Linked DNA regions of Neodiprion lecontei. The protein of the gene in region 1 binds, or shares a complex with, the protein of each later gene. Links are inferred from orthologs where the notes say so. Each region holds a gene or a part of one and is shown in the gene's direction. Other genes may lie near its edges.

Region 1 (4,846 bases):
CTGGATGAAATATAAAGAAATTTTTCTGTCACGCTACTCCCATAGGCCGGCTCTCTATAGTGAAACGTTGATTGAAGATTGTCAAAGGCAGCATTCTGAAACTCTGTACAAATCGGCGTGAGAAAACGAGAGAAGCTTCAGTACAGAAATTTCCGACCACTATCGACTCAACTGACATTGTAAACCCCATAAGCGAGTTAGTAAATGTAGGGTACCTATGGCTACGCATTGGCGGAATAAAAGCTTGTAGGAAAGCTATGTAACATTTTCTGAAAATTGCTATGGAAAGCCAGCTAAATTGAACTTTCTGAAGTTTGGTGAGGGATTGGGTGGGAGTAAGCTTCGGTAAGAATATTTCCTACTGTTACCGACCCAATTGACATTGGAATGCCATAAGTGAATCGGTCAATGTAGAGCGCTGCCAATACCCCCGCGCACCTCATGCCCTTTTGCATTATTCAAAGGAATGCACACGGCTAGCTGCTTTAGCAATACTCAATCACGTATGTAAGGAAACGAGAAATTTATGCATACGCCAGCTGTGGAGTTCTACTAAGTGAAGCGTTCACGACGGGAGTTGGAAAAACTAACGTGCTGCATTACCGAGAAAAGCTTGAGAGTGTTGCGAATCTCGTAGCGCTCTCTGACAAGCCAGGCTTCTGGAACTAATTTTCGAGGTGCATGGTAAAGGCATGTTGGTAACGTTTAATACTCTGCCGTATTTGGCATTACGAAAGCAGTGAATGATACAAAACACTTTTACGGCGATCAGCAGCAGCAGTAAAAATTGAACAAATTACGAACATCAACTTGCCTCCGTGATGCTAAAGACGGCAGTGTTGGTCTGTTAACAACATGCGCTTACCGACAATGCACCTCGAAAATTAGTTCCAGAAATCTATTTCGTGTCAGAGTGCGCTACGAAATCGGGAACACGAAAAACGCTAGCGTGGGCTCTCTCAGGCTTCTCTCTGTGCGTTGCCTGCAACGTTGATGGAGAGAGGTTACCAGTCTTCACACCACGGTCTTATAGACAAGTCTGGGCCACTGGTCTGGGCACTCCAAGCCTCTTCCTATACATATAACGCAGCGTGACCGTCTTGTAGCCTGTGTTTCTCAATTTGTGCACCAAAGACCGGAGCGCTGCAATCTCCGAAACCGGTGTATGCGTACTAAAGGAGGGAGGGAGAGGCCTACTTAGGCCGTGTTCGAAAATTGACTGACAGTACTGTCAGCAATCTTTCATCTCTTTTGCGCTTTCAAGTTCGTGAATAGCTCTGACTCTGTCCTAGGGAATTTTCAGTACTGTCAGTCAATTTACGAACACGGCCTAAGTAGGCCTCTCCCTCACTAGCGCTAGCGGCGAAATTTCACAACATCGGCTTCATTTTCGAGCACGGTTTTACAGCCGGAGTTCCCAGACCTGTCTATAAGACCGTGTTTACACCACTGATATACATTTCACACTCATGGACATGGAGCCTAGAGTTAAGGAGGTCGAACGGCACACGAGAATCATGATAAATTTGGACGCTGAAATCGTCGAAAAAGATATATGTTGGTTGTAGTTCGAAATTCAGCCACGAGCGCGCTTGTTTTGTCAGTATAGGCTAATGACCTTGAGTATAGGATATGAAGTATGGCATTGGTGATGCTATGAGGTGTGGAGTATTCGTTATCGACGCCCGGTCATTGCTGTAATAATAATACTTATATCCTATACTGACGACAGCAGCGCCACCACAGCCTATATATCTTTTGCGTCGCTTTCAGGGTCCACATCCATAGTACAGCGTTCGGGCTCCTTAACTCCAGGCGAATTGGGATCACAGCGAGGAGGGAGAGCATGAGGGAGAGTTTCGTGTTGGACGATCTTTAGTCAGAGATGAATAGCCAACCATGGCGTACGTCAATGTCGCAGAATGGAAGACAGATCAGGTGTGTGAGTGGTTGAAAGGTACGTGGAAGGCTTGATTATTACTTCGTAATATTTGTTATGCCACATTGTAAGTGCTTAGAATCGTACGTATTAATTCAGTGACGGTTTTTCGTATTATACGACGCGAAAACTCCATTTCCTGTATACGCCCCCCGGCCCTCGTAGTTTATTACGTCCATACATGTATGTTATACAAATACAAACTTCGTTTGTGAAGGCTAATTTCGTTCATTCAGTATGACTAATTGCGTAATCCATTGATAAATTCGATATGTGCGTGACTGAATGAACGTCTTTCGTTTGTTTTTGTTGTTCTAAAAATAATTCTCTCCTTTGTTACTTGAAACTTCAATGATGCATTCATTCCAGATCTGATAATTATTATGCATTCTTAGTCAGGGTGCATCGTTCAGGGTGATTGTATAAAATATCTTTCTGTAAAGTTCTCATACATTTTTACCCATAAATCAGATTCACTTTTGCCAAAGTCCTTTATATTTTTTTGACAATAATTTTTAACATTCATCATTTGCTAATACGTTCTTGCAATTCTCTCGACAGGCTTAGACAATTCGGTGTTACCGTACGTTCACAGTTTTATGAACCATGTTGTGAATGGTCAACAACTACTGAATCTCAGACCGGAAGACTTAGAACACCTTGGGGTACTGAAGCTTGGCCATCAAGAAATAATTCTCGAAGCTGTTGAGTATTTGAGAAACTTTCACTATGAACTTGACCATGAAAATTTGCAGCTTCTGGCATTACGACTGTCTTGTCAGGCCCACAGTCTGCATAATGAATTATCTCGACAAACCGATTCTAAACCCGTCACCACTCAAACTTTATCCGACGTAGCATCGGTTGTAACATCTCTGAAGCCTTTGGTCTGTTGGCTTGATCGATCTCCGTTTAGCGGCCAACTAGAATACAATGATAAAAAGGCCGAGTTGTTGAAGCTTTCCATAGAAATGGCGACCTGCGCTCAACGTGACAGATTCGCTGAAAGACCGATTGAAGAGATAAGAACTACTTGTGGACAACTAGCTAAATTGGCTGATTACATTATACAAGACATGGCCGATCCGATGATATTACAGCCAGCGAGTCTGGATTTAGCAACGTTAAAGAAAAGGCCAGGTGATGATTTGGTAAGTAATGAAAAGTAATCGTTTTTCTATAGCATTTTTTCTGATATCTTTCTTTTGACAATGAAATCAGCTTCATAATTAACTTATTCAATTTCTCATATACATCGTATGATACTATGCAATATATATTTAAAAGTTGTGCAATATTTATATAAAACAGTAATAATAAGATTTAATTTGATCGAGATAAAGTTATTGTTAATTGAGTAAAAGATTCTTATGAGACTTTTCAATATTATCAATAAACATCAATGAATGCTTAGCAACCACATCCGTTTGAGATAAAGCATGAATGTCGGTAAGATTGTCATTTCCTCTGCAGATAATACTTCTTGTGTACAATCTGAATTTAATACGACCATGGAGTTCTGTATTCTACTTACAATTCAATTATGGAACCTATTTCAGCAGTATGAAATACTATTTAAATGCAATTACAAGGATTTATACAGAATTCTTTTGTCCGATTAAATTATCTCATATAAAATCAATCTTTTAATAGTGTACGTAGTGATGACTAATTTTCATGTCTACGCTAATACAGGGTGTCTCATTTTTTTAAATACGCACCAATATATCGAAATTTAATCATTAAATTGAAAGATGTTTCGGTCAAAAGTGAAAAAAAAGTTTTTAAAAATCTGACCAAACAACCTCCCTAGGGTATACATCAAGTGACGCTAATTCCCACAGTTCTTAAATGCTTGGCAATGCTTAAAAACAAACATAAACAAGCGCCTAACCACTTTTCAACATTGAACAATTCTATTCATTGTAGAATTTGTTCTCATTTTTAAATTCTTGACAGTGATTGATGTATTACCACTTTTCTCACGAGAAAACTTCTAATAAAGTTTTACGCTTATTTGAAGACGATAACTAAAAAATTACTAGGAGTAAAACTTACTTTTTAATGAGAAATACGAAAGTAAAATAAAAAATAGCAGGTTCCATTTGAAAAACGAAAGTTGGGCCCCAATGGGCCCAGCAAAGGCCCCAGATCCAAAAACTGGGATGCTCATCTGATGTCCCCCTTCATATACAACAATTTTTGTCCGACACATTGTTCAATTTAATGCTTAGTTTTTGATATATTTGAGCATATTTTCAGCAATAGGACACCCTGTATATATATATCAAGATTAAAACGCAATACAGTTGTAAATTTTTTACTCACAATCAGATGAATAATTTCATGATTAATGTTCCATGATAAATATTGTTAGTTGAAATAATTCAAAAATGTTTTATGTTCAGGGCTTCTACATATTGCCATCGTTCCATGGTGCTCATCAAATAGCTGAAATTAAATTCGGATCTGCAGCACATCAATGCGGTAAAATGGAAGAAGGTGATGAAATTGTCCAGGTAAATAACCGATCAGTTGAATTTATTGCATGATTAATTTAAATTTGAATACCGACATGGCATAATTTTCCAATAAACAATTTTCCTCATATGATTGAGGCTACCTAAAAAAAAAGAAGAATTTCTAAACAAAATCTCTATTCCTTTAACATTGATATATGTTGGAAAATAATAGTTAGACATCATTAGTGGGAGAAATTGTATAGGTATGTGAGGAGTAATATTAGGAAGAATGAGATACTGATCAAGTAGGCCTAATTTTAAACAACTGGTTTTGCAAGCTTGCATTCACCATGAATATGATACATGTGAAACATAATTTTCAAATGACACAAGATATTGAGTTTTCCTATGGTCATTATTAATTGTGATGTCAGTTCTAACAAGG
Region 2 (4,738 bases), on another chromosome or scaffold:
AGCATATACACAGGCTGCTTTGTTTTATAATGCAATCAATTTTCAAGAATAAATATGCTGTAGTTCCTAAATAAATTAATGCTCAATGAATTATAAACTTTGCGTGCTTGATACCGACACAATAAGAGTACATAATTTTCTTACGTCAATTAGAAAGTCTTAGAATTCTAGAAATCGTGCGTAATTCCTGGAACTTCACAAAAAAAACCCAAACTATACATTTTTCTTTCTAACTTCTTCGACATTACATACCTTGCTTCTATGATTGAATTACAATGGCAGTGAGAAAAATTGAGATTTAAATTAGTAATAATGTAACAGACCATTTACTAAAGTTCATCATTTTGCAGCTTTTAATGAGTTTGAAGGAGTTGAATTTGCAGTATACATATGTATGTGTTACTCCATTGCAGTTCGTTAAATTTCAGATAGTGCTGTTATTGCCAACTAATGAGTTTTGTTAAAATAAATTTTCACACTACTTCGAAATTAAAAGGAGTTGAAAAACATGCGTGTTTGCAAACATACAAACCTTGAGTGGTGCCAAACTGTTTAGCCTGAGCACACCTTCCAACACCACCGTTGAATCTGCGGAATGGTACGCATTCTTTGTGTTCAATGACACTCTTCAGATACCTCTGGGCACGACGCAGAGCCATACCCTTGATAGCACGAGCAGTTTCATGAGTGTTCTGAAAGAATTTTAACAACTCTATTAACGAAGTATATTTCGAGTACATAATATTCTTTCAAAGGTCTATAAGTAAAGTGCCAGAAATACGAGGAAAGGTAAAGAAAAAGCATAAGAAAATGCAACTTTACTAATATTTCACTTATACATCAGGCGAGCTTACACGCATTTTCAGAAACAAATAATAGCAGTTTGAAATACTATATTCTTTCAGATCTTGGCAAGTTGGAAATTTGAAATTTCAATACGTATAAAATACACATTGCACACGATTTCCATAAGACACCACACAAACTCTTGAAAATTACCTAATGCATGGAATGTGCAATACGATCGAACGCTCAATTGTAATAAAAATACGATTGTCAGAATCTTGGCAAAATTTACACCACGAGCAGAAGCATCCGCAGATTGTAAATTTCTAGGTTATTCTCAAATAATGAAAGAAGCGTGAAATTGTTTACCTTGAAGTGCACCCGAAGGTTCGAACCGCGTGCTTTGCACGATTTGGTCGCATTATCAGGCTCACGAGAATACCGTCCCATTTTGCCCTGAAATAAAACGAATACAGTTTAAATTATTCCGAAATGTGGAAAACATCAGGCGGCGCCATGAAGCTGGCACGTATGTTTTACAGACAATAATTGTAACTTGAAACACAAAATCACAAAACTTCGCCACTTGAATTGTAGATCAGAGTTTAGCGTACGTAATTGATAGGTTCAATACTCGATAACTTGAATTATATTTCAGATGCACACAGATTCGTAAAATAACAAGGCTCGGCTCATACCTCTTCGCGGAACGATATTACAGGAAAAGACGTCACAATGGTTGAAGCTTCGCCACATGTCCGCAACACGATTCCCGTTGGTGGCGCTGCTTTACCATCTCACAGCAAATTTCCACCAATTTCTACACAACTACTATACTCGGCTCAGCCTAGGGGCATTTGTGCTAAACTCGGCTCCCGGCAATCGTCAGCGTACATATATCGTAAACGGTTCCCAGTAAGTCGAGAACTTGGGACGCGGGAAGTACGTATGTTCACCCCAAGCCGATTTCCGTGTAACAGTGCCCTGCAACTTGCAAGAGGATCCGTATAACCGATATAACCTTCTTTCACTCCCTTCATACGTTTTCTCGATCATAACCCCGTCGAAAGTTTTTTTACAGTTCTCCGGCTCACCTCCGAACCCTTATTCACGTAATTCCGGAACTTTTGTTGTCCCAATCCGGTTATACCGCACGGAAAGGGAGTTGAAACATATTTGACAGTTCGACGTTTGACAGCTTAGCCTCGTCATCACGTTGAATACACATATGTGTGCACAGCTATTTGATGGCTTTGAGCTTTTAGCTATTGAATATTGATGATAATGCGCGACTAACTGATACTCCAATAAATCGAGATTTCGAGTAGATAATAAAGTGCCACCAACTAACGGGAGATACTCAACGCTCTGCAGTGTTCCTGACTTTCATTCTTACCTTTCAAAGAAGACTTCTTGATTTTCAAAGGCTTTCAACACACCGTAACAAATGTCAAAGAACAAATTGAACCTGACTCTACCTCCAGGTTCTATAGAACCTGTAGCAGCAGTTTCACCTTCGCCACCGGTTCCGCCGTTGCCTGTTTACACCGAACCTGCAGTACCGATTCCAGAGTAAGTTTACTCTTTTATAATAATACCTCGTATGTAATACCTTTTGGAAGAGTTGATTAGGCTGTAATTAATCGTTCAACCATCATTGTTTACACTTCAATGTTTTTTAAATTCACTATCCTATATACCGTGCTTAGTCGCGCCACAGCGTCTCTATTTGGATGCAATTTGTACGCTAGTCACATAGTAAATGATGGAATAAGTTCGGTCTCCGTTATACTGTCATTAGAAGTTTTGCGAATTACTGTATTTTGTTATTATCTACAACCGCAACACACATGTGAGATGATAACTGCGCTGCCAGTGAATGTTATCCCCGGAGGATTAAGAAAAGTAAGAAACTTGACATTGTCTTACAGTCATTGTTACCGTGCAAATATGAAGAGCGATTTTGATACTGATGATAGTAAAAGTTTATTCCATGAGAAAAATTCAGTTTTTACAATAAATGGTTTTCCACTTTACATTCCAGTGTGAATAGTTATCAGTAGAAGAAATAGTACTGTTTCTAAGCAAAATACATTTTTCTGTTTCCTTAATAGTCTGCATGAGTTATGTGAACAAATTCGAAAAGCTTGAGATTCCAATTCTGGATATTTTTATTTAACTAGTCTATATTCTTTCTATGGAAATTGTTAACCTAAATTGATTTTTGAATCTGAACTTTGTAGTAAATTTTTTTGAATATGCTTTACAGATGCAACTACTAGATATGCTTACAGTTTCATTGATTACTAGTTAATTTAGACAATCTGGTTCAATTTTAAAACCTGTTATACAAATGTATGAGATACTAGTCTGCATATCATGTCTAATTAAAAGTGTGTTGATTGATATCTAATCTATTTTGTCAATCATAACTTATAAAACTGCAATTTGAAATGTGATTGAAGTTCGAACCTCACAATAACAAAATACCAACATAAGTAATTCAATCAATTTACCAATTTACAATTCAGGAAATCGCAAATGAAGGAAAATCATATACACATAGCAAACCTTAAGTATAGTTTTTCACTGCAATCCGGTGAACCTTCTATACTCATATTTCTTATGTTGCCTTTACTTGCAAACTTGAACCTGAAAATTGGAGTCACTTATGTTTGTCACTTATGTAACCCACTTATAATTGTACAGTTCATTACTTTAGCTGTCAAAACTATAGTTGTCACTAATACTGAATTTGAATGATAAATGGATGCGATATTTAGCCCTAAGTTCATCAAGTCGTGCTTCCCGATAGCTCACCAAGTTTCATTTACTCCTCAAGAATTTAATAGAGTTTACAAGATAAGCTTGATCAACCGAAGTTTCAGATACAATATTCAACATTTTCTCCAAAATACTGGTACATATTGATAAATATTGAATTTCGAAACATATTGTTTACCCCGAATAAGCAAGTATCATTTATTATTTACAGCAAATTTGATCAATTGTTGTTTCCATTACTGTAAATATACTTCCAATTCGTCAAGGAATGTACTCTATGAAATTTATTATTGACTGATATCACAACATACACATTCCAAGAATTGCGTAATATCGATATATTTCCACCTTCCGTTTTATTGTCACTATTAATTTTGTGGAGACGTTCATGTATTGAAATGTCGGTGGATTTATTCCTGTGAAATAACGACATAGATGTTTAAATTGTTTCAAATTGTTTCTGCGTAACTAGCAGCCTCAATACAGTTGCCACGAAATCTGTGGGTGTGTTTACATTTATTAATTTAATAAAATGATGCAGTGGTGTGATGGGAAAAATGAGTATCGACGCTCTCCAAGAGCGATTAGAAGAACTAGAAATGGATGAAGAACAACGCAAAAGATTGGAAAGTTTTCTTGGTCAAAAAGAAAAAGTTGGTGAATTATGTGATGAGGATTTTGAAAAATTAGGAGAGCTGGGTGCAGGAAATGGTGGCGTTGTTATGAAAGTCAGGCACAAAAAGTACGGTCTCATCATGGCTAGAAAGGTATGTTGGAATTTATCACTGCTGAATGTAAACTATAATTCAGAATATTTATATATCAACTTGTATTTCTTTCGTTGTAATTTCAGCTGATCCACCTGGAGGTAAAACCAGCCATCAAAAAACAAATAATAAGGGAACTCAAAGTTCTCCACGAGTGTAATTTCGCACACATCGTAGGCTTCTACGGAGCATTTTACAGGTATAATTTTGCTAATGTCGTCAATTTGCTTGTTGTGTAAAACTTCAGCTTTTTTCAATGGTTATTGCTGTTTTAGCGATGGCGAAATTAGCATATGCATGGAATACATGGACGGCGGATCGCTGGATCTGATTTTAAAAAAAGCTGGCAGAATACCTGAATCGATATTGGGTACCATCACAGCTGCGGTAAGCAATATTTA

Evidence for each region.
Region 2: the proteins of uncharacterized protein LOC107223905 (region 1) and dual specificity mitogen-activated protein kinase kinase dSOR1 are in contact, whole or in part, in a cryo-EM structure (PDB 8BW9), measured with the Drosophila melanogaster proteins. The link is inferred for Neodiprion lecontei from reciprocal best matches to the Drosophila melanogaster genes cnk and Dsor1. Residues at the interface, in NP_001286524.1 of Drosophila melanogaster: Arg46, Tyr48, Arg72, Tyr76, Thr92, Lys95, Asn96, Arg99, Arg103, His117, Arg121; in NP_511098.1 of Drosophila melanogaster: Arg200, Gln255, His258, Gln262, Tyr319, Val321, Asn322, Glu323, Pro324, Lys347, Gln348, Asp350, Glu351, Arg352, Ala353, Asp354, Lys356.

Annotation. Positions count from the first base shown.
Region 1 is NC_060260.1:24,524,588-24,529,433, reverse strand, and holds the start of uncharacterized protein LOC107223905, read left to right. Parts: upstream 1-1,793; 5' UTR 1,794-1,899; coding exon 1,900-1,957; intron 1,958-2,500; coding exon 2,501-3,090; intron 3,091-4,347; coding exon 4,348-4,458; intron 4,459-4,846.
Region 2 is NC_060263.1:21,129,129-21,133,866, reverse strand, and holds the start of dual specificity mitogen-activated protein kinase kinase dSOR1, read left to right. Parts: upstream 1-1,701; 5' UTR 1,702-2,233; coding exon 2,234-2,358; intron 2,359-4,111; coding exon 4,112-4,337; intron 4,338-4,423; coding exon 4,424-4,536; intron 4,537-4,612; coding exon 4,613-4,724; intron 4,725-4,738. Other genes in the region: 60S ribosomal protein L17, read right to left, coding at 533-692, 1,156-1,236. UniProt on the Drosophila melanogaster protein: Required downstream of Raf in the sevenless (sev), torso (tor), and Drosophila EGF receptor homolog (DER) signal transduction pathways.